Lytechinus pictus: one gene and its partners. The main gene of each other region encodes a partner of the protein of the gene in region 3 in a complex. Links are inferred from orthologs where the notes say so. Each region holds a gene or a part of one and is shown on either strand. Other genes may lie near its edges. The genes, in order: eukaryotic translation initiation factor 3 subunit B-like, eukaryotic translation initiation factor 3 subunit I-like, eukaryotic translation initiation factor 3 subunit C-like and eukaryotic translation initiation factor 3 subunit L-like.

Region 1 (7,962 bases), on a different chromosome or scaffold from region 3:
AAAACCACGTCGTGTCCCAAATTGTGCTTAATATTCAGCTGAACTTCCAAATAATACAGCAATTTTCATGCAAAGAATAATGCGTATGGTAGTTCGTGTGTTCAATGTTTTCCCCAATTGAAAGTTGACAAGATATTGAGGCAGTTACTCTCAGTAGTATTATATACAGGTTCTTCAGAAAAACCTTGTGGACATTTTACAATTGTGAACGGTTTAAAATATTTCACTTGGTATTATTCCGTTATTTTGTGTGAGTTAAGCATCTTGAAATGAAACAGCATATATCATATATGTCAACTCGATTTTAGAATAAAGATGACTTGAATAGTTGACAAGGAAACAGAAATACAAGCTCTATATATGTGTTTTATTTTTGAGTTCTCGGTGATTCTCATTTCTTAGGTCCGACGATCGAAACCCCTCTATCGTTTCCTAATAAATCTGAAATAAAGAAAAGTAGAATAAAGTTATATTTTCATCTTGAAGTTTAATTGCATCTAAAAATGATGGTAAACATAATGCGCCATGATGAAGTGTTTTGATGGTGATGATTTGCCTGCATGAAATGAAGTGTGGATTCTGATGTTTATGGTTTTATGGACATATACAAACAGAGAAAAAGTTTTAATGACTATTTCTTTTTTTTCCTAAGTGATGAAATGGATTCACGATGATGATTGGCCTTTGTGATAAATGAACTCAGGGTGATGATGTACGAGTGGGTGTGCATGGTTTTGATTGCATGATGGTTTGGATAATGGGCAATTCCGTAAAATGATCAAGCTTTCTGTACATTCGACCCCCATTTTTCTAAAGTCTTACATCACTTAATAAACTGGCCAAGTCATGGTCATTTGACAGCGTTACAGACTGTCAAAAGAACCAAGAATCATAGAGACCGAAAATTTCATGAAGATCCCAAATATAGAGGTTCGAACGTACATATTTTATGGAATTGCCCTAATAAAAATATGACAATAGTGCGTGATCGATGGTGGTTGACAATGATGATAAATAACGTAAGACTTAGGGTATGTATGTGGGGTGAGGGGGGGGGGTATAAATCAAATCAGCAATGATCGTTATGAAATCGGAATGAAACTCTATGTGAAAAATAATACTATTTGAAACAAAAGTCGACATTATTAAAATTGGACACTTAATATCAAGGTTACAGCATGCTTAAGATTTCAGTGAAACAACTCTTTACTGTCTTCATCAATATTCAATCATGAGCAAAGTGATCGTGTCACGTGAAATATCCCAATTTATTTTTTCGTATATTATAAAATTATGTTCAATTTGTCCTCCAAGAATGAAAACAAAAACTGACAACAGATTTAATACATTTGATACTCTTTGCTGCAAGGCTTGTTAAGGAGACATACCATACTCACATCTTATATGTGATATCTTAAGAAAAAAGAGTAGGGATGTGACATAATCGGCCTAATGAATATTGATGACGACGTGCATATAATTATCTTCACAAAACATCAATAATCTTTAAAATTCAATAACTTAGTTACTTTTTATCAGATTTTCATAAAAATTTCCAGCCTTTGCTTGGTGAATCTTACCCTATTTATTCAGAAATCATTTTCAGCCCTGAGTTCACCTTTCAAACATTTTATTAAGTCAAGTATAGACCTTAAATTGACATGAGGAAATTGATCTGGCGTGTGGTAAGCATTGGCGGCGAAGTCAAAAAATTTAGGGGGTTCCACCCGAAATTTTGTGATGATAACAGGTTAAACAAAATTGACAAGCAAAAAAAAAAAGGCAATCAACTAAAATTTTAGGGGGGGGCAGAAACATTTTAGGGGGGTCCACGCTGACTTTAGGGGGGGGACGCAGGAAATAAAATTGACAAGCAGAAAAAAATAAAATAAAACAGATTATCAACTAAAATTTAGGGGGACCACCCCCCCCCCCACCTCAAATTTAGGGGGGAACCTGTCCCGCCGCCGCCTATGGTGGTAAGAACATTATTATGACGTATTGCAATGTCATTCTGGTACGTCATACTAATGACTCATCACTCCATGCTGCACGTGGGTTGCCGTCGCACATCGGGGAATCCCTGGTACTGGTAGTACCAAGAAGCTCCTTGGTAGTACACAAAAGCAATGGCATATCGCGGTACGGCACGGTGCACGTAAATCACATGGTACATCCACACACCATTATTGTGTGCACATACGACATGTACTTGAATGCAAGTCCGATGATTTATGCATTGTGATGCAACCACTGATCTCCACTCTAAATAAGATGCAACCTTGTGCTTGGCGAAGTACTCGTAATCTCTATTGTGACGTATATGTGACCTTTCAACTAGAGCAGTGACCCAGACGTGTCCGTCTACGAACGCATTATTCATGAGCAGTTGATAAGTTGCGTATTTGAAAGGCAAACTTGACAACGAAAGCGGTAATGAATGTATTGCGCGCCCTTCCAACTCCGCCCCGGCCCCTTCAATGCGATGCGGCGTACAGCAGCTCTGTGTGTGTTTTAGGTCAAGCAAAATGTGCCACTATCGGTGTGATATCGCTTACGTTTTAATCTGAAAATGTGCCAAACTTTAGAAGCAAATATCTCTGGATTTAAATGCTTGTGAGTTATGAAACTTGATTTACATGTTATTTCAGATATTCTCTTCACTTTCTGCTACGTGACAGTGATTTAATTCACAAAATAGGTGATTTCTGAAAAACGTCCAGACACCCTACTAGTATGGAATAGCGGTTGAAAGCTTTAATGTTACAGTTCATGTGTTAACCTGTACTAGTACGTTGCTGATATTTTGATAAGATAAGAAGAACCCCCCCAAAAAAAAACATGAAAAAAGCCTGGCTTCATTTTTGTGTTCATCCATTTATTTTCGTCTCGAGTCAAGACGTCAAGTTCAGTTTCTGGATGCGCTGGTGGAGTTGTGTTACTGCTGGGGCGGTATTCTGAAAACTGTGTTAACGTGTTAACTTTGGTATAAATATTGACCGTGTTATCTCTGATTTAACACGCCCCTAATACCCCCCAAATCCGGATTCTGAAAACCGTGTTATCTCATTTCGTGTTAATCTAGCTTCAGCTCCTCCCAATCTGCATCTTTTTAAGCCAATCAAATGCGCTGTTAAAGAAAAAATCTTTTCAGGGAAAAGGGGAGTGTGCGCACGATGACATGAAGCCTGCATTGTTACATCATTTTGGAAACGCATAGAGCCTAGATCTACAGCTAAATAAAAAGTTAGAGCGAGAAAGAGACATGGGGAGGGGTGATTGTGACAATTAAGAATGGATTATTTCAGACAGCATGGGTACGAAATTATAACAGGAGACAGAATTAAAATTTGATGCGTGTAGCGATCAGCCCCTTCCCCCCCCCCTCCCCATCCTCCCACATCCGAAGCATATAGATTGACTGGCGGGATAGATGAATTAAGGATTACCTAGAAGCATTGAGAGTTTAAAAAATTGTATCAATGGAACTATATATACATGTAACCATTGAAAAAGGGTTTTAAAAAATTGTGAATATTATAGAAGAGTTCCCTAATCGCTAATTCCATTCTTTTTAATTTCCGTTCATGCTTTTTTAAAGATGTTTTTAATTTTCTTTCTCTCCTTTTTAGATGTTTTTAATTTTCTTTCTCTCCTTTTGTCTTTTTTATATTATGGCAAAAAGTAACCAAATAAATAACTCATGAGCATATATGATAATGATTTGAATTAATCCAAATTAAAGATGCATTTGAAGTGTATTTTCACAGGAAATTCCAAAGAAATTTTTGTTAAACTTTAATCATTGTTAGTAGAGAAAAGGGAGATGGAAAATAAAGCTGGAATAATGAAACAGGGATGCCAGTCTTCAGGCAAAAGCCTGAAATTCAGGCTCTGGCAATTTATTTTCAGGCCGTAGTTATAGCATTTTTGTGTACAAATTATTGTATTCTAGGTGATTTTCAGGCCCTCTGATCAATTCCAACTGGCATCCCTAAATGAAAGAAAATTACAGTAAATTCTGCCAGATGATAGCTTTATGCCCGGATATGTTCTTTTTGACGTTTGCGTCTGCTAGAAAAGTGCAGCCATCGTGTTCCCTAACTTAACCTCCTTATCGCAGTGTTGAATTTTTGTGTTATCTACTTATCTTTGAACAAAATTTTAGCTAACACCATTTTCAGAATACCAAATTTCATGTTATGTTCCTCCCTAACACCGCGTATGGGGGTTGCACGTTGCGCACTGCGTATTTCATGACCTACTCGGTGTTACCACTTGGGCCACATGTTTTTCATACTAACACTATTTTTAGAATACCAATCGTGTTAGCTGACACCGTTTTTGTGCTAACACGGTTTTCAGAAAACTGCCCCAGGTGTCTGGACTATGTCTCTGACCCTGACTGTGGTGACCAAATGCCCTTCATTTTTTTTTTATTGATGACCTTTTATTTTTGTATGTTAAATATTTGGTACAACAGTACAAAACCTAATCTAGTCTTCTAGAAATTCACCCTCTTAATCTCAGCAAAAGACTAGATCGCACATTGCAAATAACTGATGATGTAACAATATTAACTGAGCACTAAAAAAAGCCTTAACAAGATCAGGAAAAACATTTCTCACAGAGGATGTGGCTGGCACGGCAGATGATAAAGTTGAGTTGTAACATAAAAAAAGTTGTTCCACATTTTTTTTGACAAAATGAATCAGTAATGTATATGACTTTCTTCACGGAATGCTGTCAAAAAGTTTGATCTTCCTGTGAGTCTTCACATTTATGACCTTGTACACTCGCTGGGTCTAAGATCTTAGTTACGCTCAAATAGCAGAGCTATTTGAGTTACTGAAGAATAAATGGTGCATTCAATGTAAGTTATATAAACTTATTTTTAATCGAACTTGCAGATCATTCTTAATATTATAAACCTTGTATAAACCTCTCATTGCAGAACTTCTCGGTGATATACTTCGAACCAAACCAAAGGAAGCTCTTGGCATCGATTCTGTAATTGTCATCGACAATGTACCACAGGTTGGAGCAGATCGGTTACCAAAGCTGAAGAACGTCATCAGGAAAGTTTGTAGCAAGTATGGAGAGATCAGCACAGAGCACTATCCTGATGCTGAGGATGGCAAGACAAAAGGGTAATAATCTTTGAAGTTAGTGGGGGTGTCGGCTTTCAAGGGGGATTTGACACCACTCTTGGTTAACCATGGAAGATTGAGATTTATGACTTGTTATGTAATGCCACTGGAAAATGCCTTATATGGTAGTCATTTTCTCAGATTTCCTGGCCTGACACTGTTGCCCGAGGCTTCTTGCTGGTATACAGAGTTTGCTTTCCCCAAAAGATGTCTCTGTTATGTTTATTTCCAATTGGTCTAATGCCAATTCCTCTAATTACCAACTCATCTACTATCATTTGATCTATCATCAATTCGTCCACTATAGTACATGGTCCAATTGCCATTTCGTCCACTCACCTTTTTGGTAAATAACCAGTTGGTCCAATAGCCATTTAGTCCATAAACCATTTGGTCTAATTGGATAAGTGTTGAATGGGCGAAATGAATGAAAAGAAAATGGGTATAAGACTACATGTAACTGGTTATTAGACGTAATGGTCATAGACGAACTGGTGATTAGACGAAGTAATTATTGGACCAAATGGTTAATGGACCAAATGGTTGTTAGACGAAATGTTGATGGATGGAATGGCATGAGACTAAATAAAGGTAGACCATGTGATGAGTGGATGAATTGGCAATAGACGAATCGACAGCTTACCCTCTATTACAGGTATTTCCACTGCTTTTTACATAATCTGGGATCAACAAATAATCTATTCCCCATGAGAGCTGACACCCATTCACTGTAAAGGGCATTCCCCCCCCCCCCCCCCAACAAAAAACTTGATTTTGAATAGTTAGAGAAGAATCAAACTAATTTAATCAAAAATCGGATCTTGAAAGATTTCACAAAACATGTACACATGTACAGCACAGTGATGTGCTCATGAGAGAAGCAGCGCCACTGATTCTTTTGCCTTCTGTTACATGAATAATATTTCAATTTTTGCTGATATTTTGACAAAAAGAAGAATGGAGATAAATACAGCTCCTAGAATAGTCTGATGTTGGAGGATAGGAGAGAGTTCTTCCTCCTTTTCTTTCTAGTTCTTTCTAGGTTTCTTTCTAATTCTGTAGAATTGAAATATTCTAGTATTGGTACAAGGAATCTTGAGAGATCAAGAATCCCGAAGTTTATTACCAAGATTTGTTTTTACTGTTCTTTTGCAAAGCATCAACGGAGATCCTTTTTACGTAATTAAGAATTCTTATTCCTTTTTAATTTTTGCACCACAGGTATGTTTTCGTCGAATACAAATCACCTGAAAACGCCATCGAAGCTGCCAAGCAATTGAGTGGGTACAAGCTTGATAAACAGCATACGTTTGCTGTTAACTTGATCACAGATTTTGACAAGTAAGTTGCTCTTCTTGTAGCCATTTTATATTGTGATTTGATAGGGTCATCTTCTTGTGCCATAATCCTGATTTTGATAAGGACAAGGGTGTTGTTTCATGCTTTCATTTATTAGATGACACAATTTTAGTAGTTTATTATAGTAGTTTTCAACTTGTTATTGATGAGCAGCTTTGAAAGTTTTTTTTTTTTCTTTTGGGGGGGGGGGGGGATTTCTATGTTTGCTCTAGCTATTTGTGTAAGGAAAAGTGGTTCATGCTTTTTAGGGGCAAGGTTCTAGAGACTAAGATAAGATGTAGGGAGGGTGCACTGCTAGATGTGACCATGAGAACGTTGGACACACAGATCACAGAAATTTGCTCAGTTTGGCGGCGGCAGCTGTGATGTGTGGAACCCGGATTTAAATTAATGTGAAGAATTATGTCATGAAAAATTGCCTCGTACATAATTGTTGTAAATACATGTTCATATTTAAGAAAGGCTTGATTAATGATTTGATTTGATTGTTCCTTCTATTGATAGGTTTATGAATCTACCGGATGAATGGACCTCACCCGAGAAGCAGCCATACAAAGATCATGTAAGTCTAGCTCAGGCTTTTAGCAATAAACGTACTGACCCATCTTTACCCTTGTGCCTTGTGGGTAACTTATCCATTATGTGTGCACGTCACCTGGTCCAGCTATCCGTCTTTGACAGCTATGTCGGGGTGCTACATAACTTTTTGAATAGTTGGAATATACTTGCCCGAAATCTATTTCACTTGCCCGAAAAAATCCTTGAAAAAAAGTTTGCCTCTTCAAAAGAAAATATTGCGGTTAAACCATTGACCCTTTTTTCTCTCTTTTGACATGAACTGATGTACCTTGTTCTTACATTTCTTTTTCCAAAGTGATTTTATCTTTTCCACCATGACCCTAATTTTGGTCATTCTACTGTGAGAATTTTTGCTTGCCCAATTCGGGCAAGTAGTTTTGGTCTTTACTTCAAAACATTTGCCCGACTTTAACTTTTACTTGCCCCGGGCAATCGGGCAAGTGCTTATGTAGCACCCTGTATGTTCAATAATTTTCTTGCAGTCTTAGGGCCTTTTCACACGAGAATCTTGAATAATCATTGTAATGATGATTGCAATTTGTCTTTAGAATCATTGTACCATTCACACGTTTGCTTGAAAACTGATCTGAATTCGAATTCCTGAGCGAAGGCGGTACTGTGTCCTTGGTGACTTGTCAATCAAACCCAATCAAAGCACTGCATTGCAAAAACGAAACGATGAGTGCATGACAATTGTATTATCTACGGAAGTGCTTGAAAGGTCACGTAAGCTCGGCCCCTCAAAAGACGTCGGGAGGTCAACCCTTTCAGACGAAAAATTTGTACCGTAATTTGAGTGAAACTTAATGGAATTCACCTCCGGAGTAGAATTTGAATTCGTGATCGTGATTAGCGTTCATGGTTCTAGTTCAGT
Region 2 (6,904 bases), on a different chromosome or scaffold from region 3:
TCTCAAGGTAAACCCAAAACAGACTTGGAAAACCTTAAAGTCCATTATTCCGAATAAAAAACGTGAAAATCTCACAGTTTCGTCTAATTCGGATTGTAATACTGAAACTGCTAACCTATTCAACACTTACTTTGCAAATGTAGGGAGACAATTAGCCAGTGAAATACCCGATATGAACCTCCATACAGAAGATGGTAATTATACAAATGAGACTTTTGCATTCACTCAGGTGAACGAACATGATGTTTTGAAAATCATAAGAAATCTTAAAAACACTAAGTCTGTCGGTGTTGATAAGATATCTGTCTTTGTCTTGAAGGCATGCTCTATGGAGATATCAATGAGTATTGCTAAGTTGATTAATTTATCTTTGTCAAGCGGTATATTTCCGCAACAATGGAAACAAGCTAAGATTATCCCAATTCACAAAGGTGGCGATAAAAATTCTCCTTCGAATTATAGGCCCATCTCAATTTTGCCCTGCGTATCTAAAATACTGGAAAGGGTTGTCCAACGGCAAGTTTTAGATTTTTTGCGAAATAATGATATTCTGACACCTGCCCAATCCGGTTTTCGGCCAAGGCACTCAACCATTACCACTCTCCTAAAGGTAACCAATGACTGGTTTCACTCAATCGATCTTAAACATTACATTGGGGCCGTCTTCGTCGATTTAAAAAAAGCATTCGACACCGTGAATTGTGATATTCTTTTGAAAAAAATGAATAACTTAGGTATTTCTGGCACACCATCCTTATGGTTTCGAAGTTACATGTTAAACCGGGTTTGTAGGACTCTTATCAATTCGGAACTCTCTTATGAATCAGTTATTAACTGCCATGTGCCCCAGGGATCACTCCTGGGGCCACTGCTCTTTATATTATATGTCAATGATCTAGTGAAATGTATTAATACATGTCATATCCAATTGTATGCGGATGACACCGTTTTGTATTTTTCACACCCCTCCATAGATAGAATCAACGAGGCCCTAAACTCAGATTTAGAAAATATGTACCAATGGATGTGCCAGAATAAGTTAAGTGTTAACTGTCAAAAAACGGTCTGTATGCTCATCGGAAGCAAGAATATGATTTCTAAACAAAATGTCCTTCATGTTTCCTTAAATAATACCCCATTAGAACAAGTTCATCATGTCAAATACCTAGGCATCATAGTTGATGATTATTTGAATTTTAACTTGCATATAGACAACATGTTGCAAAAAATAGGTCAATTAGTCGGCTTTCTGGGAAGATTGCGGCGATCCTTAAGTGAATCGATCCTGAAATTAATATATAGTTCATTGATCCTCCCCTACTTTGATTATGGTGATGTTGTTTACGATGCATCCTTTAGGAAATACACAGACCGCCTTCAAAAACTGCAAAACAGAGCAGGTCGTATTATACTCCAAATTAAACCCGAATCTCATATATCTATTTTGGAAATGCATGATACACTAAATTGGCAATTGTTGGACAAAAGAAGAAACGATCATTCCCTTATTCTCATGTATAAGATCATGAAAAATCTATCTCCAAAATATTTAAGAAATGAATTTGAGTTAGTATCACATACGTATCCCTCCCGTTTCGGAACCAAATTTAAATTACCAAAACCAAGAACAAATTACCTCAAAAGATCCTTCAAGTATAAAAGCGCCATGGCTTATAATTCCCTTCCTCTTCACATCAAATCATCCCCTAGTATTAATATTTTCAAATCTAAGATTGTTGATCTGTAGCACATGGACTCCGGTACCCCCCCCCCCATTCCCTGTTAGGTTTGCGCCCCTTAATTTTTTTTTTTTTTTTTTTTTTTTTTTTCTTATTAATGTTTACTGTTGATATTTACATTTTCATTTTTCTTCTGTACATCTGTTATTCTAATGTGGTTTATTTGTGTCTAAATTATACGTTAATGTTAAATGTTATGGACCCCACGGAAGACCAGCGCTACTGTGCCAGTCACGCTGAATGTGGGCTATCCACCGTATTTTATTGTATATAATTGTGCTTTTAATACGGAAATAAATACTACTACTACTATACATAAGCGGTTCAAGGGTCGACCCTATTGTATTTGCGTTGTGTACATGTGGATCGAGGGATCTACACGAGATCGGTCTGGTAAGAAACCTTTTTCTAACATTTTAATTGACCATTTTTTTAAACCTTCCTACGCATTAGGCGTAGGAAGGTGTAGAGATTAATAAAATCACAACAATTTACGTGATTTTTATATTAAAAGATGGATTTCCCTAGGAAATCCATCTTTGTTTACATGTCTCTTATACATATATGAACTGGGGTTCAAGACTCCAATCCAATGATGAAGAAGTAGGCCTATAATATGTCAAAGTATTTAAAAAAGACATCATCATGGAGTCCTCAAGACTACCCCCCCCCCCCCCCCACTCTGGTCTTGGCATTGCCATTGCCGGTATTCTGTACGATGAGAATTTAATCCATTTCTCTAGAGTCTAGCTCCGATTTAACTTTCGTAATGATAAACTTCACGCATGATAAAGATTTAGCAGTGCAGCGCAGAGGCACGACGTCAATCGTCACATGAGCTATCGATAATGCAATCGGTATCGTTCTTTTGAACCCAGCTTCATTGGTGTTGCAGCTCGGTCAGTGGCCTTTTTACACTCTCATCTCAACACCAACACACAAACACAGGCAACACCGATGACCGAACTAGAAATCACACATTCACAAAATGACAGTCACGTCAGTCACAATGCATTGAATTGACGTGCGTTCCCACGTATCTATTTCTGTGTCATGAGCTTTTTTACTACTTTTTAACAGTCCTTTAATTCATAGTTAAGTTTAATATTTTTCTCAAAAAATCATACATAGAATACTACGTAATATGAACATTCATACTTTACCATTTTAAAAAATTATATCAGTGACGAATTAGAGAATCAGTACAATCTTTCACGAAATTATGATACCAGCCGGTAGAATTTTGCAACACATGCGCGGGATCTAAATTAGTCTACGATCAGACGTTGTCAATTTTCAATGATAAAAAAGGGGTTTCCGACATTGTATGGCATGCACAAAGAGATGTATACTAATTACGCTATTAGTTATTAGTATATCTATGGGCATGCATGGGAAGCGTGTGCGGAGGGGACCGGAGGGGAGGTGGGGAGAGGAGGACTGAAGCACCCCTCCCCAATTTTTTGGTTGGTATTCTATCATTAAAATCATTCGGCTTTGTTTACCAAATTAATACATGTGCGATAGTCGCATACCCGGGTAGCATATTCCTACATAATGGTTTGACAAAAAAAACGCCTTCATTCGGGACTGAATAATTTCAGCTTATTATTATCTTCTTCTTTTTTTTGCCTGCTTGCCATTATTTTTTTAATCTGGAATGAAGGCCTTTGCTATTATTTTGTTTCTTTGCTTATTTTGGGGGGAGGATTTTTAATTGTTTGTTTTTGGGGGGTTTGTGATTTTTTTTTAATCACCGACCTGCAATATTTTGGAAGTGGAGACTATTTTTTTGTGTGGGGTGGGCTTGTCAAATTTTTGTTAAACAAAAAAAAACAGTATATACCCCCTCTTAGAAAATCGTTCCCGCGATCTACATATTATGCGTTGCACTGTCAGCTAATAAGCAATCCTTGCTGGTAACGGTACGTGGCAGATCTATGATCGAGGGTACACGGCACATATGCCACCCTCCCCCCTGAAAATCTTCAAAAAAGGGGGAGAGGTATAGTGGGGACATTAACCAGGACGGGAAAAAGAGATCAGAAAAAAAGGAAGGGAGCTGAGGGAAAAGAAAGGGAAGTGAAAGAAGAGAAATGGGAGCTCTAGGAAAGAAAGGTTAAAGGGGATGCAGCACCCCAGGTATTCTTGAAGATGTGTAAAAATGGGGGGGGGGGATGTAACGAAATAATGCTTCTGAACGCAGGCTTAATTAGCCTCACATCTCCATATTCTGCCTCCTCCATGGCCCTGGGAACGGGGGAGCGTTTCATGAAAGGACTTGTCAGACGTTTTATCCGACAAGTCCTATTTTATCCGACAGTTACCATAGTAACATTGCTTATCAGCCAATCAAAATCAAGGAAAGATGTCAGATCTGACAACATGCATGTCGGACAAAAATGTTGATGAAACGCTCCCCTGGGGTGCTGCCTGCACCCCCAAGATTTTCCTTGGGGCAGGGAGGCACTTTCCCCAAAAATTCCCAGTAGGAAAAATGCCCTTTTTTTAAATGGAAAGTATACCCTTTTTTAATGATATATGTGCCCTTTTACAGAATAATTTTTTTTTTTAAGGTTAAACAATACATTTTAGGCCTTAGAAAATTACAATTTGTTTGGCTCGCGCTTCACGCTCGCATCGATTATTGTTTAGTAAGGTACTCATCCTGTTATAGTTGCAAAAGTGCTGTAATAAAATGTCCAGTTTTTAGGTTGGAATATCACAAATTTTCAGCTCGCACTTCATTCTCGCATCAATCATTATTTGGTAAAGTACTCATTAGGCCTATGTTCTTGGTTACAAAAAGTGCTTATCCAGTTTTCAGGTTGGAATATCACAAATTTACAGCTAGCGCTTCGCGCTCGCGTCATTTGATTGATGAGATATAAAATCATCTTCATCAGTCACTATAATGCAATCCTTACCAGTGTCTTTTTCTGGTCAGTATAAAAATTTCAGCTCGCGCGAATTTTCTAGTTAGATACACATTTTTTTCATGATAACAAAAACTGCTCGGTATGTTTAATTTTCAGGATATTTGTCCAAAAGTTTGAGCATGGCGATTCGCGCTCGCAACATCTCGCAAGGATGCACTTTTAACAGCTAATAATTTGCGCGATAATTGACCAAAAGGCGAGTTTCACAGCAGCTTTTAGAATGGAAAAATTTTCCAAACCGCTCGCTCGCTGAAAAACAAAGCCTAAATATATTTCATCTATCAGAAATCACTTCAAAAAGGCTTTGCTCAACTTAATACAAAACACAAAACTTCTTAACGCAGATGATAATCTCATGTTAAAAATATTCGTTTGCAACCAAATACCCATTTTGATATATAAGTGCCCTTTTTTTTCTTTGCCCCCCCCCCCCCCCCCAACAAAAATGCGTCCGCTGCGCCTGTTTGGGGTGCTGCATGTATTATTTTACAGTGAAACAGCACCTCCTGAAATTCTGGAAGGAGTGAGAAAAAAATTGGATAAATATAACCCGATCGAGGGGCCTTTATTTGGTATACCGGTAGTGAACCCCCCCCCTCCTTTTCAAATTTGTAGGGACCAATAATGACTTCCATTTTGTATTGATAACTCTTGTTTATTCTTTTTTATTTTTTGGGACCAATAATATCACTTCCATTTTGTAGTGAAAACCTTTTTTTTTGCTCTTCAAATTTACATCAGCACCCCAATTTAAAAAATCGCTCCCAGGGCCCTGGGGAGCGTTTCATCAATATTTTCATCCGACAAGTTGTCAGATCTGACATCTTTCCTTGATTCTGATTGGCTGAGAGGTACTGTTACTATGGTAACTGTCGGCAGGTCTGACTGTCGGATAAAATGGGACTTGTCGGATAAAACGTCCGACAAGTCCTTTCATGAAACGCCCCCCTGATCTCCTCTTTAGGTTGGCTGGATCATCATGGGTCAGCTCCAAACTTATTTCATTATTATTATCATAATCATCATCATGAAGCTACTGTCGCACATCTGTTAACAATCAGTGAAAGCAATCAAATAATATTTTTGTTTGTGACAGTTCATTTTGCACAATTTTATTTTTGCACGGTCTATGTTCGAAATGAGAATAAAGCGTAAATTGCAAGGTGAATCAGAACAAAATTTCATGAGTGTGCATTTTCGGCCTTTTCACTACTTGAAAATCAGACTGTCATAGGGATTCTTGACTCTTAAAGGGATGGTCCAGGCTGGAGGTATTTTTATCCCAATAAAAAGAGTAAAATTCACAAAGCAAAATGCTGAAAATTTGACCACTTGTTCTTTTTATTTTATTATATGAAATAAGGTTTATTTTAAAAGAAATTCTACCAAGAAATAAAACAATTGGATTGACAACGGATTATAAGTGCATTAGTTATTCATCGCCGCAACTTATTTCATCATAATGGAGACACATCATTTACACATGTATAAAAAAATGAAACATTTATGATTTCATGTAATAACATTATAAAAATGAATGTGGGGATGCCATCATCAGCCCACCTAATGAATATTCATGATAGTGTGCATATAACTGTTTTCACAAAATGTTGATAAACTTCACTTTTTTTTATTTGATATCCGATTTTGATGAAGTTTTCAGCATTTTGCTCTGTGAATTTTACTCTATTTATTTAGATATAAATATTTTCAGCCCGGACCATCCCTTTAATAAAATGTCAAAATAATTTGTGTTGATGATTATGTGTCCAACCGACAAAAATGGTCAAAATCAACCATAAGTTAGAATTTACCAGAATTTTGGTTGATATTGACTATTTTTATCGGTCGAACATAACCTGTGACGGTTACTGCATCATTTTGAAAAACAACAATCTTTGACCTGCCTGATCCATCTGAATTTCAGAAACTTATGCATTTATCCACTCACTCCACCTTTAGCAATGAAAAAGGAGAAAAGAAGAGCCACGTACAATGCCCAGAAGGGCTCTGATTCCATTTGAGATGATCTTGTTTTCCAAACAGTTTATATTATCAATAATATCATTCAGTTGAAGAGTTTATCATGGACCTATACAACGGTCCAAGAGTTTATTAACCATTGTGGTTAATAAACTCTTGAAGAGCGACCACGCCCATCTTTCATCTTTGTCCCCCTGGCCTAGCTACCGATCGTACGATTTTTATACTGTACTCTTTGGCCAA
Region 3 (7,842 bases):
AAAACAGCGCATAAATTTCTTTGTGGACATGATAACGTATCGAGATGAAAGATAGTCTGAAAATTCTCAAACCTTTTCTTAATGTTAACTTCCTTGGAAAATAAAATTTACAAGAGGTAGTGGCTATTCAATTGTAACTTAATGAAGCATGCGATTTTTCTCAGTCAACAATAAATTCTAGCTGTATCCAGCAAAAACTTCTTTGACAAAAGAAGGCATTCGGATCCAAGAGATATTACAGAGTTGGATTTGATGACTTTTCGGCAATAGATCTCATTTGAGATGATGGATCATTTCAAAGAAAATATGCCTGGGAGAGCAGCCACATGTATTTTAAGCACTGTAGTGCACAAGCATAAGCGTCAGAGGCGCATGGGAAATTATGCATCATGTCAATAATGCACTAAATGTTTTTACAGAAGAGATGCTTCTATTGGTTGACCTAAGCAGATAAGATCACTGTCAAATTCTCATCGCTTCACTTTGGCAATGCTTGGCTTCAGACTTCATGGTAGTTTTGATATGGACTGAAGTTAGCGACCAAAATATCTGTCTGCCAGCAGCTCACCCATTGTTTGCCGCATGTTCACATATTGGTCGCTAACTGCAGTCCATATCAAAATTACGGAAAATCCAAGGAAAATGATGTCTGAGAATTTGAACGGAGACCTCCCAATTAAAGTCGAAATACAGCTGTTCCCGATATGCAATATTCGGAAAAGCAGTGGGCGTAATCGCATATTGACCATGTTGACCTTAAAATATGATACCTGGGAAATCCCTTGGAATTGGGCATAAAGTTATACAAAAAATTATTTGCCTCTCGGTGTCTACAGACCAGCAATAGTCACTTACGGTGTGTTTATGCTTCCATTGCGAGGACAGAATCAGCGTTTTCAAACGTCGATTCAAAACGCCGATTGTAAACGTGGTTCTGGGAGTGCTGTTTATGCTTAACTTTTCAGAGGCGAAATCACGATCTCCAGCTGTCCTATATAGGGTCTGCTGATATTTTATTTTATTTCCAAAACCACTTGCCCGATCGGGCAATTGACTTAGGGAAATGCTTGCAAGCACATCATTTCCACTTGCCCCGGGCAAGCGGGTTTGTCGCGCCCTGTATAAAGTCTCTGGAATGGCGCGCACAGGTCAAAGACCCGACCCTGGGGGGCCAGTCAAATGTATTGCTGTACACACGCGTGGCCAAATTATTTGCAAACACCCCCTAAACGAGTTTTTCTCTGTGTGCAAAATATCCCCCTAAAACACAGTGGCAAATTGTATAGAACGGATAGCGGTGCGTTTAACGCTAGCGGGCGTGTACATGTTGCTTATTACATGACGTCATCCAGCCACTGCCGAGAGCCAATTTATGAATGAAAATATAGTAAGCATGCGCACTGCAAGCCTTCCATTGCCCCACACAGTATTCCACCAAAACAAGTGTGCAATTCTCTATCATACCAAAATCGACCTAGAATTTCACTTTCCTATATTTTATATGAATTATGAAAGGTATTCTTGGAGGAACTATTTTATCACTGATACCGCACAGGTAAGCGAATTTCGATTAATTCTTGATTTTCCGTCAAAATCTTACGAATTAGCGTCGATATGGCATCGTGTTCGTTGAAGTTTGTAGAGTCTATCTCAATGTGTACAAAGTCAAATGATCTCCGGGTTTCGGAGCGTCGCGTGAATATGCATGAAATTGCCGAGTCTCGATAATTTTTGATCGATACTGGAGCGATCTAATCACGAACCAAGACCATTTCCCGCGTAGACAATGTGACCGGATATCGTTAGCACTATTGATACTTTCGCACGCAGTCCGAAGGGATTATTTTGGTGACCACGTAGTCATGACGTGATCTGCGCGATTGGCCAATCAGCAGTCTCCGACTCGCTGAGCCGAGACGGTCTATCCATTGTACACAGTCTATGGACAATTTGCCACTGTGTAAACAAGTTTTTCGCGGGATTTCTTTACAAATTTTGGCCCCCAAACCAAACAAGTTGTTGCCAGAATATGACCCCGGGAAAAAAAAACATACCCTAGACATGTTTGGCTAGTATTTTAGTAATTAAAAAAAAGAGCTTTGGAAAAAAAAATACCCTAAAAGGTTAAATTATTAATGTTTGACCCTGCGATTAACCATTGACCAGTCTTTCAAAACTACCCCTTTTTCTGAAAATATGTGTTTTTAATACCCTTAACGAGTGCACGCGCGGCCCGCGTCCAAAACTGAAAAACACCCCTTTATTTGCGTTTATTGGGTCACGCATGTCTACCGGCGTAGTCTACGGCAATACATTTGACAGCCATCTTTTGGAGACCAGCCGAGGTTTGACTTGCCTTTGAGCCAGTTTGTAAAATTAAAAATAACTGATGAATTGATTGAGAGACTTGCTATTTTCGAAGTTACTGGTGGGGAAATTCTCTCGAAGTCGGCTGATGCGAAACTGCATTAGCGCCTAAATGGCGACCCTAAGGTCCATCATGCACAAATCGCCCGTTTTCGGCACGTGCGATTTCTTACGTGCACAAGTGAACGGGAACTATCACACTCTCGTGATAGATGTGAACAGTTTGAACATGAACAATATCGCAATTTACGCTGTTGTGCCAGGTATCTTCGCAATGAATGGGCGCATGATCGACAGAACGAAAAGGTCTGCGACATAGCTCCTCTTTGCAGGATTTATAATGAACGACACATAAGTTTTAAAACTATCACACATGATATTCAAAGATAACTAGTCAACATTTTTCACATTCATTCAACAAATGCAGTGCTTAATGCGAATTTGGTTCAACAATGTGCAATATGTTAACTTTCTTACCTAACCTGCGTGAGCAATCTCGGAATCATAATCCGCCATATATGAAGGCGCGCGCGAACGCTCGCGGTCGCTCGCGCTCGCGCTCGCATCTAGCTAGCATAGCTATACGCTAGCCATCGCATTCTAGGAAGTGGGCTACACGTGCACAATGTGAAATGCATGGGCGAAAAGTTGTGACTCGGCCAAAATAAACTCAGCACTCATAGGTGCTCTGAAGTTTTATCTTTTAAATGCCATTAATTTTTTTTAGTTTCGTTCATGCTTGAGCAAACACGAAATGTTTTTGTCTGGGGTTAAAAAGGAGGCTTGCGCCAAAATTGCATAAAATGATAAATATGACGATCGGACTTCTTGCTAATCAGCAGACTTCATTTTAATCTTTTCATTATCTTTGCCATAACTTTCAAATTATGAATTGTTTTGTTGTTGTTTCTTTTTAATATGTTCTCTTTTAGAGTTGAATATTCCTTCGATCTTCAAGCAAAAACAATTTTTTTTTCAACCGAAGTATGGGAGAGCGTGTATTTTTTTCAAATCCTTTCATTGTGTGCTACAAAGGTTATGGTGCCTTTTGAACAGTGCCACTTTTTTATGGGCGGGGGCTCGGGGATGCTCCCCCCCCCCCCCTCAATTAAAAAAAAATCATGACCAAGAAAAAAGTGGAAAGGAAATAAAAGGAAAGACAGAAAGTAAAATATGATATCATTTTCTGAATATTATGTCAAAATCTATATCACAAAATTTGATATTGTAATAAAAAAGTGGGAATATTTGCGTGCTCGCTTCGCTCGCTTACAACTTTTTAATTTTTACCCGATCTGCCATATCTAGCTCCTTCAAAATTGACTCAACACACCATTGCTATTGAAAGACATGAATCCCTTCCTGTTTGTCCTGTCAAGCATATAATTAAACTTGGTCAAACGGGAATCAATAAACCCTTGAAAAATTGATTCATGTCTTTAAAGGTACCATATACATAATTTGTTTCACATAATAAAAGGATTTGAATAATTATACAAGTTTTCCCAATTAATAATGCAAATTTTCTTGCTTGGGTTGACAAAAAGTCTTCTTTTCTTACTTATGAAGGAAAATTCAAAGGTAAAAGAAGTTTAAATGAAAAAAAAAATAATAATTCAAGTAAATAAATAAATTTGTAAATAAAATTTGACAGCATAATTTTAAAATTATGGCACAGATAATGAAAAGGTTAGAGGAAGTCTGCTGATTAGCAAGAAGTCTGATCATCATATTACTCATATTCTGCCATTCTGGCGCAAGCCTCTTTTTGAACCCCCGACAAAAACGTCCCGTGTTTGCCCGAGCATAAACATTATTTTTTTTATTTTTTTATTGAATTTCAAAGATAAGATTTCAGAGCATTATTAACATCAAAATATAGATATCATAATTTGAAACAAATTATTTATAGACTGTTCAAAACTGTCCCTTTTTATACGCACTGTATTGGCGGAGAAAAAAAGAAAGAAAACAGAGGAAAGAAAGAAAGGGAAAAAAGAAGGGGAGAGAGACGAAAATAAAAGAAGAGGGAAAAGAGAGGATGAAGAAGATGAGTTAATAAACATATTGTGATCGAGGGGAATGATTTTTCAAATCTTTTTTTTTTGCATTACATAAAATTTTCGCTCACGCTTCGGGTTCGCATTGCATGTTCAATGAGATTATCTTGCTCAGAAGGCTTAAAATATCAAGTTTTGAAGTCAATATACAAGTTTCAGCTCGGACATCGAGCCCATTTTATCAATCTCGCGATAACCCATGCATCCTATTCATAATCACAAAACATAATGTCCAGTTTTCATGCCTCAGCACATTTCGCGCTCTCATTATATAGGCTTATTAGCCTAGATAAAATATTAACATTTTCATTAAAAAATGATGAATTTTTACTGTACTGTCCCTTTTTTTTTAGAAAGGAAAGTATCGACAAGTTTTATCTCGCGCTTAAAGGAAGTCTTCTATAAGTTTCGTAGTCACAAAACATGCACGTTATGCACAACTCCGTGACTTGCAAATGAGAGTCAATTAATGATGTCCCTCACTCACGATTTCTTTTGTTTTTTATGGTTTAAATACAATATTTCAATTTTTACAGATTCGACAATATGGATCCTGACTTGACTTAACCATAAACTGTTAAAATACTGGCAATTCCACGTGTTCAGGGAGGAATAAAAGTTTTGTTTCACTGACAATGGGGAGAAAATTAGATTTTTTTTTCATGTTTCCGAAAAAAAAATATAAAAGAAATAGTGAGTGGGTGACATCATCACTCTGCTCATTTGCATACCAACCCCGGATACCGACCAGGATAGCTGCTTTGTGAAATTATTTGATTGTCGAAAAAAAATTGTCTTCATGGCTATCTGAAAACAGTATAGCAGGTCCCTTTTCGATCATGCAGGCCGGAACGTAGATTAAAAATTTCTGCTCGCGCATGGGCCCTCGAAGTAATTATCTAGTTACATTATTTTATACGCATCTTGTTCAGGATGACAAACATGCCCATAAAAATGTTGAATTATCAGGATAAAATACATGAAATTTACAAAAATTCGCGCTTGCACAAATATAGCTAAGAAGTGACTGTTGGGGGCTTGGGGCTACCCCTTCAAAGAAACAAACAAAAATCAACTTTGAGCTTGGCCGCCTTTATGACGTCCCTCCAAATCCATGCACGCTCGGGCCTATATATTAGGCCTAATATGATTATAGGTGGGGTTATAACAGGTCCCTGGGAACGATTTTTTGACTGGGGTGCTGAACATCTCTCCTCAAAGGTGGGGGAGGGGGTCACAATTGAGTTTTCCATTGTTCTTACACACGCACACACCCACATACATATATATATATATATATATATATATATATATACTTCTTATAGCTTTATTCATTAAAACATAACATATATATATAATTAAATAGTGCGAGTGCGAAGCGCTGGCTAAGATTTTTGGAAATTATATGTATTTTATCATGAAAATTAAACATTTTGAGCAATATGTTTCTGATCCTGAAAAAGATGCGTATGTATTAAATAATTACTGCGAGCGCGAAGCGCGAGAAATTTTTAATATCCGCTCTGGGACTGTTTGCAGTTACCCATGAATACAATACATATTTCAACAATCAAATAATGCGAGCGCGAAGCGCGAGCTAAGATTTTTTGAAGTTTCATTTATTTTGTCCTCAATATTGAACATTTTGAGCAATGTTTGTGATCCTGAACAAAAGGGGCATGTTAAGGACTATTTGCAGTTTCCAATGAAGACGATACATATTTCCACAATCAAATAATAAGTGCACAGTTGTTTTTTTCCAATAAATCCGAATATTTTATTTTTAACTGAAAAATGAAGAATCTCACTGGTTTTGGTCCTAATCCAGTCCTCTAACTTTTTCCAAATGTGATTAACATGCCCGCACTCCGAGTACAGATGCAAAACTGTTTCGATTTCTTTTCGACAGAAGGTATACATTTTGTTTACTGAAACTAATTTCGATTTGAAAAGCAAATACTTTGTAAATAATATATAATACGTTGCACAACTTTATATTGAAACCAACGCAATGTTACATCTTCCTACATTAATAATTTGAGCGCGAAGTGCGAGCAGAAATTTTTAGATATTCTGATCTCAAACTGGATTTTTATGCACGTTTTAAATAAAGGGCAAGTCGAAATCTCAATAAACATGCGCGCGTGTTTAGATTTAGATTCTAAATAGGCCTACATTATTTTGTTTATGAAAATCAATAAGGCGAGCGCGAAGCGCGAGCTGAAAATATTTGATATTTCGATCTGGAAAAGGGTGAATTCATGCACTATTTCAAGCACTGTGTAGGAAAATTCTGAATTGGATATGAATCGGATGAATGACACGAGCGCGAAGCGAGAGCTAATAATTTTTTATCATTATTTTGACCTAGGACCAGGCATTGTAAGGATATTTGTCATCATATGAAAATAATGACTATCTTTCTATTCCTCTTTCTAAGAGCAAGATGAACCTTGACGGTATTCCATTCTAAAAAAGGGACAAATTATTGATTATTAGGAACGTCATGAAAATTTTATTATCTTATTTACTAATCTAATAAGTCTAATTAGAACGCGAAATTTGTTGATATTAAGGCCATAAAATTTGACATTTTAAGCACTTTTGTAAAAAAATTATGAAAAGGATGCAAGGGTTAATATATTTTTGACAAAAATAATGCGAGCGCAAATCGCAAGCCGAAATTAAGGGATAAAATGTCACGAAAGGTCGATTTATTAGAATTAATATGGTATAAATAACTCACCAATCAAAATACGTTTTAATAGGCAATCAAACCTAAAAAGGGATATTTTGAGAACTTTATGGAATACAAGAAGATAATAAGTAATTGACAAATCAGAAGCTATATAGCGCGGAGCGCGAGCTGACCATAAAACGGAAATTTTGGAACACTTTAAAAAAATCAATTTGTAAATCAAACAAAATAACGAAAGCTCGATGTCATACAGAGAAATGTTTATATATATAGACTTCAAAACATGATATTTTAAGCTCCATGATCCTTAATCTAGTAAGCAAGATAAAGTATCTCATAGAAGAAAAGAAAATGCGAGCACGAAGCGTTAGCGAAAATTTTGTATAATAGTGACATCATGAAAAATGTCTTCCCCGGCTCACCTTATTTCATTCACTCGTCTTCTTCCTCTTATTTTACCTCTTCTTTTTTTCTCCTCTCTTTTTCTCCTTTTTCTTTCCTTCTTTCTGTCTTCTTTCTTTCTTTCTTTCTTTCTTTCTTTCTTTCTTTCTTTCTTTCTTTCTTTCTTTCTTTCTTTCTTTCTTTCTTTCTTTCTTTCTTTCTTTCTTTCTTTCTTTCTTTCTTTCTTTCTTTCTTTCTTTCTTTCTTTCTTTCTTTCTTTCTTTCTTTCTTTCTTTCTTTCTTTCTTTCTTTCTTTCTTTCCAGCCATGGGTTATA
Region 4 (7,852 bases), on a different chromosome or scaffold from region 3:
GCACCTGGTACTAATGCACTGCGTATACGGTACTAGCATAGACCGGCCTTAGCTAGCTTAAAATTCATGACATGCCGTTGCCAATTTCAAGATATTATTTGTATTATTGTATTATTTCCTTTTTTAAACGTAATAGTACTCACCTAAAATTTCAACACCTCGCACGTGCCGATGATACTCTCAAACCCTGGTCTTTGCTTATTTATTTCGTGAACAATTACATCAAAATTAATTTTTTTTTAAATATATGGACATCAAAAAAAGAATCTTGTAAATAATTAACGTGGTGAACTTTGGAATATGTACTAATTAAACTAATATAAAAAAAAGAACTGGTGAATATTGTTCCTTTGATTGGAAATCTCTTGAAAATTAGGGTAAGAGGTGCCTTCTTGTTGAGATCCATGGTGAGAAAGGCAGGACAAGCTGGGTCTTGTTTTTATTGTCAATTAAAGTTTGAAAGTTCATTTATTAATGGGGGTGACTTGAACACATCGGTAGAGCTAAATAATAAAAATAGCTTTTTAGTTGAACAGTTTCATTGTATTATTAGCAATTTAATCCCAGATCTTTTTCTCCCTCCCCCCCCCCCCCATCTCTCTCACGCTCTCTCATCCTCTCTGAATTTTATTTCTTCAAATAGAATGTTGAAGCCCATCGATCAAGCTTTGAATTCCTGCGTCAATCAGGGGAATTCCCTAGGTCTCTTGACGGGCTTGGGGTCGAACATGTGCCATTTGATCTCTCGCATGCGGTCTTTCCATTCAAGTTGTGGAAAATTCCATTCATAAATAATTTAGACTAATATCCAGTCTTTAATTTTTTTCATTCGTTTGATTTTCCTCACTTTACATGGCAGCGACTGTATTTCTCTAAATATTTTTTCAAAAAGGACTGTTTTTTAGACTAGACGTAAAAGTCAAGTGTCGCGCCACGCTACTGATTCATCAATATTCATGAGGAATCGTAACCACGTGATAAAAAAGATCGTCGGAAACGTGAATATTCAACAGCACTGGATGACGTCATTTTTAGTTTTTTGCTTGGGAAACCAAAACCCTGATAGGTATTGGCATGAAACCAACAGGAATAACACTAGAATACGATTTTCTAACGACCATATAATGTGCAGCTCAAAAAATGCACGGGATCATAGTTTTTTTTGTTTTTTCATCATTATTTCTGGATTGAGGGGGCGGGGCTATGTACATTTGACATCAGAATCTCTATCAAAAGTTCTTTTGCTGAAGTTAGCCCACATTTTTCTTAGACCTACCAGTTGCCAATCATAAGCAATTAAATGATCAAAATGTGAAAAAACACGGTCACTTCTGCATTGGTCTCGCCGTGGGTTAGAGAGAAAACTCTGGAGGAATTGGGGTATAAAATCCACTGAAATCTTCGGCATCGGCGACTTTTTAGACAACGAAGGATTATAGTCAGGATCAGTATAGTATTTGTGAGTATGACTGGTGTTGTTTTAATCATTTATATATTATGATTTATATTTTTAAAGATTATTTATTTATTGGTGCAAACTTCATCCGTGAATTTGTGTCCAACAACGAGAGCGCTGCGGCTTGCTGCGGCGCCGGTTCGCACGATCCCAGATTCTCATCGTTAACCACTCTAGGCGACACCCCAATACTTACCCGTGCTAATAAACTGGGACTCCACTCACGCGCGTTTGGGCCTCCCTAGCTTAGAACTAAGCACTAATATCACCTTAAAAACTAAATCTACAAGGTATGTATAATCTATTTATAAATTTAATAATGTTTAATCGGTACTCACCGGTTCTTTTGTTGCATTTTCAGACCATTTCTCACAATTCTTCGTAAATATTTGCGGCAAATTTTGTCGCCATAGACAGCTTAGCGTCCATCTTTATTGATAAATGGAGCGCCCTTTACGATAGTTGTTAATGCCGCGGAGAAATCGTTAGGCATTTTGGCCTGTGTTCAAGGCGTTCTTTCTGTTTTATTTTTATATTGAAGATTGTGCATTTGTTGAATAGCGCCATCTACGTCAGGTATGAGATCGAGTGTATAAATACACTCTTCCAAAATAATTATGATTCCGACCTGGCGCTGTTTAACTTCAATCTCTTTCACCTAAATTAGCGATGAATGCTAGCATTATAAAATATATATTATTAACGTCTGACGAAAAGAATAACCAACCGATCAGCTGACGAGAACGCGAATCACGTGATCTTCATATCAGCTTCGATCGCGAGTCAGAAGAGAGGAGCAGTTGCCCAGAAAATCAGGAAAAAGCCGTGAAAATGTAAGTTCCCCTTCATTTCTTTCAATTTTTTTTATTGCTAACAATGTATTCAATTAGTGAGATCGAAATGTAATGATTAGACAGTACGATAGCTTGGAGTTTTGATAAAATACAAAAATAATCATCTTCACAAAGATTTCTGACACAAAATACTACTGATGTCGCCTATGAGGTCCATACATGTAATGTTGGACCTCATTGGTACTAGGAGTGTCGTTAACCCTATTTCTATTTTTTTTTTAAGTGAGAGAAAAGAAATGTTTACATTTCGGAAACGAAGAATCATCGGGAAATCAAGGAGTACCAAAAGGTAAAAAGTTAATGTCCCCTGGGGGCATCAAGTACAATTGTTCTTATCACATCAAACTTAGATTGATTGCAAGATCTTTCTTTTCAATTAAATAAATACATCACACAAAATATCACACGTGGGACTACAATAAAAAAGAGGGTAAGCAGAGTAACTAAGTTAGTATACATATGGCGATATGTGGTTAAATATATTCACGATACACTCACCTTCGGATCATTGTAATCTTTTCCTTGATTATACATGATTGATATAATAATATACTTCAAATATAAGGACTTCGTTGGAAGGATTTACAGGCGTTTTCATTCACCAACTCCGGATTCCAAGGCAGCTCTTATCACACATGGAACAGATCTTCGTGCGTGCGCATGCGCGTATGTAGGCACATGCTCTAGATCTAGCTCTCGGACGTCACGTACACTGAAAGTTATACAGACTCAAATTTGACACCGTAACAAACATTACCGCATCCCTCTAGTATTATATATGGAGAATAAACTCCAAACCCAAGCCAAAAAAGATGAGTGAATCCAGTCTCCTACTTCATACTCGATACTACTAGTACTCTACACTGTGCAAAAAAGAAGGGTCTATGGATCTGTAGACTACACATCCACGAAAAAGGGGGGCAGGTACGTGCCCCAAATGATCCCAAAATATTTTTCCAAATTTTCTTTTTTATTTAAAATCCTTGTTTTACGTTTACTTGGTCACATCCTACACATTTTTTTAAAATATTTTTTTAATAATTTTTTTTAGGGGGTGAGTCTTCAAACATGCATTGTACGTATTGCCGTACCTCAAGAAGTGTGTAGCCATGTGCGTGGGCCTATCATTCTTCAAAATTACCTCATATAACACCAAATGAAAATTTAAAAAATGAAATGTGAAACCAATATGAATGAATGCGTAAATTCAGAGAATGAATTAATACATGGAATTCATTAGTTTATGATCATTCATTATTTAATCAACTATTGACTGATATATACAGCCCCACTTTTGGCTCAGCCCCCCCCCCCCCCCCACTCTCAAAATCATTCCACTGCCCCTGACAAGGCCTTACGTATTAAATATAGGCCTGTCGATCACCACCTACTGAATTTGTTTTTTATCATTATTATTATTTTATTTGGCATTTCAAAAAAAAAAAAAAAACAGATCAGAGACAAGATCAATCAAAATTTTACACTGATAGAGAAAATAAGACCTGGATGAGAGTTGGAGAGGCTGCCTGGGTATGGAAAAGGCTTACTTGATAGCCATAACCCACAGGTCTTCCTTCCCAAGTCTGACCCATTCCCCTGGGGCAGTAATCTAAATATAGCCCAGGTAGTATATTGTTTTATGTCCTCATGAAAGAAAAATATAATTTGAAGTAAAACTTTTGAAAAAAAAAACCGTCATTTTAGCCATTTTATGTATTGGAGTACATGGAAGAGTAGTCCTTGCCTTACATCACTGTGACATCACGTATGCGGCCAATTTGAAGTCTCCATGGATAAAGTGATTACTAATATTTACAACTTTTAAAAATTCATAGCTTTCTTATGTTTGTCCTATATTGTTCAAACTTTCACCTATCATCTTGTCTGATTTTGCTTTTTCCCCTAAAAACAAGTTTTTATTTGTGTTGGATTTCACTTTAATTCAATTTTATTTAATTTCGGTTTAAACGTACCCTCTTCAGATTTCAAAAGCAACCTTGTTGCCATGTATACTATAGAAAGTTGATTAAAATATAACAAAGTTTACATTGAAAGAAATAATTATGAGCAACAATTTGAGTCAGTAAAAATAATATGCAAGGTTAAAAAGGTTATAAATCATAAGTAATGCATGTCAGTTGATGTATTGATTATTTCTAGCAAAATGCGCTTATTTTACTAATACATAACCTTTATTTTATTCTATTTGATTTTCAGTTCGGGGGCAGTCAAAATATGATAACAAACAAGGAAGTTGATGATTTTTTTTAATATAAGATTATTTTGTAAAAGTAGATGCACGCCGTCATGAATATGCAATATGTGGACTGGCGGTGTCGTGTTTCCACTTTCGCTTTTCCTATGTATGGAAGCATGGTATGGAACCGGTGTGTTGGCTCAGTTGGTAGAGCGTCCGTCTCACAACTGGTGGGTTGGGGGTTCAAATCCCTGCCGCGTCAGACCAAAAGACCAATTTTTTGCTTGTGAAACTTTTTTTTTGGACAAACAAGTATCCCCTCTTTAAAACTCGTTCCAACGCCCCTGCTTCCCCCTTCCTTTTCTTTCCCCTCTCTGCCTCTCCTTTTATGGGGGATGGGGGTCACCGCTTGTAATTTCAATTTCTTTGTGAAAAATAGGTGAAAAGCAATAATCTTTGTGTCCCTTTTACTCATTGAACAATGCAAACTCATTCTATTCGATACACAGGTGTTCATGAATGGAACTCACAGTGCAACAATCTAAAGTCATGTTCAACACTCTCTCGTTTCAGACTATTACTGAAACATCAATTTTTCGAAATAAACTATCATCCTTGGCTGAGAAGACTCCTTTTTTTTTCTTCTTCATTTTATCCACTTTTCTCGCTCTCACTCTTACTATTATTCCTCTCTTATCTAATTTTTCTTTCTCACTTTCCTTATTCTTATGTTGCAATGTGTGTTTGCAGGTGTATGTGGTTTTTTATAGGTATGGTGTGCAGGCCTTTAGCTAATACTTATGTTTTAAAAAAAAGTTAATTTAATGTTATTTTTTGTATTTTATTGTAATTCTTAATTGTCATTCAGGGCCTCAAATATAAGCACAGGATGGTTTTTCAGAGGTCCTGGCTCATTATTATGTATTTGTTTACTTTGTAACTTCTTGATTGTTTTAATTTGCCAAATGAAATTGAGCTTTACTTAAAAAAAAAATAATCATAAATTGTTTTTAAAAAGTTTCCCTTTTTCCTTCTTCCCTTTTTTTTCTTTTTCTTTTTTTCCTTTCGGGGAAATAATTACAATATAATAATGTAAATGTTATTATCATCATCATCATCATCATCATCATCATCATCACCAGCATCATCATTATTATTTCTTTCTTATTCTCTCCTCTCGCCCTTTTCATTCTTTTCCATTTCCATTTTTTTCCTCCCTCCCTTTCACTTCTTTTTCTTCTCTCATTCCCCTCCCTTTACCCCTCTCCCCTTCTCTTTCTTTCCTCTTTCCCATCGTTTCCTCACCTTTCATCCCCCCCTTTCCCTTTTATTTTCCTTCTCCCTTTCATTTCTCCTTTTTTTTTTGGTGGGAGGGGGATCCGTGACAGGCTAAAGGTGTAACAGTTTGTAATTCAAGACCCATTAATGTAAATCTTCCTGTTATTTCTTTATTCTATCTTTCTTTTGTTTCAATTCTGTTCTCTCTATCTCCCTTGTTCACATTCTCTTTCACACGCCTCTAGACTATTCATATGGTATTATGCGTCTCCAAGAACTGATTAATATTATTTTATTATTATTCTCTTTCGTTCCCGATACCTCTCCCCCACTCTCTCCGCTTGCTTTGTTTTATCTTTATCACCCATGCTACTCTCTCCATCTTCCCGTCTTTCTTTCTCTCTCTCTCCTACCCCCTCTTTATTTTTATTGATCTTTATGATTCATATCACCCATTCTACTCTCTCTCTACCCCCCCCCTCTCTCTCTCCCTCTCCCTCTCTCTTTTTCTCTCTCTCACACACCCTGTATTTTTTTTATCTTTATATCACAACCCTTCTGTAAATCACATTTTAGGAAGCTTTCAGTGTGCTTCATAAGACCTCGGATTTAACACTGTATCAAAAATTATTTGAGTCTCATGCATGTTTAATCTTAAAACTACAAAATAAAGAAAACAAATGAACATGCAACTCACATAATAAGATTAATGTATTGAATATATTTATTATTTGCTTTTTACCTCATCATATTTATTTGTTAAGAGTAAACTGATTTACATAACTGTTGAAAATGCTTACTTTACAATGATAAAAGGCAAATTATTTTCAAAATACACATATGTTATAAACCAATTTCTAAGACACATTAAATGGTTGTTTGTACAACAAAAAATGGCAGTTTAAGAACAATGATAGCATGCATGTTATCTCTTACAATGTTAAGTTCGAAAAATAACTTTGTAAAGAATAAGTGAAAAGTTTGTTTCCTGAAACGATGCTGAAGATACAACTATAATAAAATGAAAAATTGATAATTGTTATTAATTCACTTCTTTTTAAAGAAAAAAATACTACATTCTGATATAATCTTTGAATCGTTTTCTACAATTCAAACCATGCATCTGCTTAAAGATTGTTTTAAGAAAGGAAGAAAGCATGGTTGTGTACACTACTTTAGCAATCCTTCTTGTCTGGAAAACTAAATAATATATTTGTTTCTAACTACATGTATAAATACTGCAAAAGCTCACACTCAAAATGCAGTAATATCAAGACATGTGAAATTTAAATTCGTCATAACAGAGGGCCGAATCTACAAAGGGTTATAGAAAATGAATTTTATCTCTGCCTATATAGGCTACTCTGTAGATAACTAAGCAATATAATTACAAATCAAACTGAAACTTTAGCTTAATGATATTTTAAATAATCAGCAATAAGATGTGACTCTCTCTCCATGTAAGACAAGAATACATGTGTAGATTGGATTTAGATTTAAACCTTATGGATTAAAATATAAAGCTAAAACATTTGAATTTAAATCTTTTGAGATTTGAATTTAAATCTTTTGAGAATTGAATTTAAATCTTTTGAGATTTGAAGGTTAACCCTTCAGATTAAAAATAAATCCAATATTTGACTGGTCAATATTCACATCCAATCTGGATTAATTTCAAATCCTTGAAATTAAGAGTGTACCCCAAAGTTTGTTCAACTTTGGTTCCATTTGGAGGGGAATAGAGCGCGGAATTCTGTGTGACATTTGGCATTCTCATGCTCTGCAATTACATTTTACCTTGTCAGTTTAAATCATTTCTATTTCGCAGCAATCACGCGCCTCTAAATATCAAACACACATGATAGCTTATTAGACATGTCACTAACAATACTAAAAGATGAAATTTGATGCACAAAAAATATTGAAATGCACAATCACATGCTATTCCTCTAATTACGAACCTCTAAACTTGTTTCACGCTTTGATCAATGTTAATAAATGAAAGTGGCCTTTTGGATGATGAAAAAGCACGAGAAGTGATAAGTACTGGCTGACATCAATCAAACG

What was found.
Region 1: eukaryotic translation initiation factor 3 subunit C-like (region 3) and eukaryotic translation initiation factor 3 subunit B-like share a complex: the UniProt entries of both Caenorhabditis elegans proteins name them as parts of the eukaryotic translation initiation factor 3 (eIF-3) complex. The link is inferred for Lytechinus pictus from reciprocal best matches to the Caenorhabditis elegans genes eif-3.C and eif-3.B.
Region 2: eukaryotic translation initiation factor 3 subunit C-like (region 3) and eukaryotic translation initiation factor 3 subunit I-like share a complex: the UniProt entries of both Caenorhabditis elegans proteins name them as parts of the eukaryotic translation initiation factor 3 (eIF-3) complex. The link is inferred for Lytechinus pictus from reciprocal best matches to the Caenorhabditis elegans genes eif-3.C and eif-3.I.
Region 4: eukaryotic translation initiation factor 3 subunit C-like (region 3) and eukaryotic translation initiation factor 3 subunit L-like share a complex: the UniProt entries of both Caenorhabditis elegans proteins name them as parts of the eukaryotic translation initiation factor 3 (eIF-3) complex. The link is inferred for Lytechinus pictus from reciprocal best matches to the Caenorhabditis elegans genes eif-3.C and eif-3.L.

The regions. Positions count from the first base shown.
Region 1 is NC_087254.1:11,012,937-11,020,898, reverse strand, and holds the start of eukaryotic translation initiation factor 3 subunit B-like, read left to right. Parts: upstream 1-4,954; 5' UTR 4,955-5,150; intron 5,151-6,371; 5' UTR 6,372-6,491; intron 6,492-7,013; 5' UTR 7,014-7,017; coding exon 7,018-7,071; intron 7,072-7,962. UniProt on the Caenorhabditis elegans protein: RNA-binding component of the eukaryotic translation initiation factor 3 (eIF-3) complex, which is involved in protein synthesis of a specialized repertoire of mRNAs and, together with other initiation factors, stimulates binding of mRNA and methionyl-tRNAi to the 40S ribosome.
Region 2 is NC_087261.1:4,539,975-4,546,878, reverse strand, and holds the start of eukaryotic translation initiation factor 3 subunit I-like, read right to left. Parts: upstream 3,021-6,904; 5' UTR 2,906-3,020; coding exon 2,903-2,905; intron 1-2,902. UniProt on the Caenorhabditis elegans protein: Component of the eukaryotic translation initiation factor 3 (eIF-3) complex, which is involved in protein synthesis of a specialized repertoire of mRNAs and, together with other initiation factors, stimulates binding of mRNA and methionyl-tRNAi to the 40S ribosome.
Region 3 is NC_087246.1:16,950,598-16,958,439, reverse strand, and holds the start of eukaryotic translation initiation factor 3 subunit C-like, read right to left. Parts: upstream 3,004-7,842; 5' UTR 2,845-3,003; intron 1-2,844. UniProt on the Caenorhabditis elegans protein: Component of the eukaryotic translation initiation factor 3 (eIF-3) complex, which is involved in protein synthesis of a specialized repertoire of mRNAs and, together with other initiation factors, stimulates binding of mRNA and methionyl-tRNAi to the 40S ribosome.
Region 4 is NC_087254.1:6,009,133-6,016,984, forward strand, and holds the start of eukaryotic translation initiation factor 3 subunit L-like, read right to left. Parts: upstream 3,009-7,852; 5' UTR 2,845-3,008; coding exon 2,809-2,844; intron 1-2,808. UniProt on the Caenorhabditis elegans protein: Component of the eukaryotic translation initiation factor 3 (eIF-3) complex, which is involved in protein synthesis of a specialized repertoire of mRNAs and, together with other initiation factors, stimulates binding of mRNA and methionyl-tRNAi to the 40S ribosome.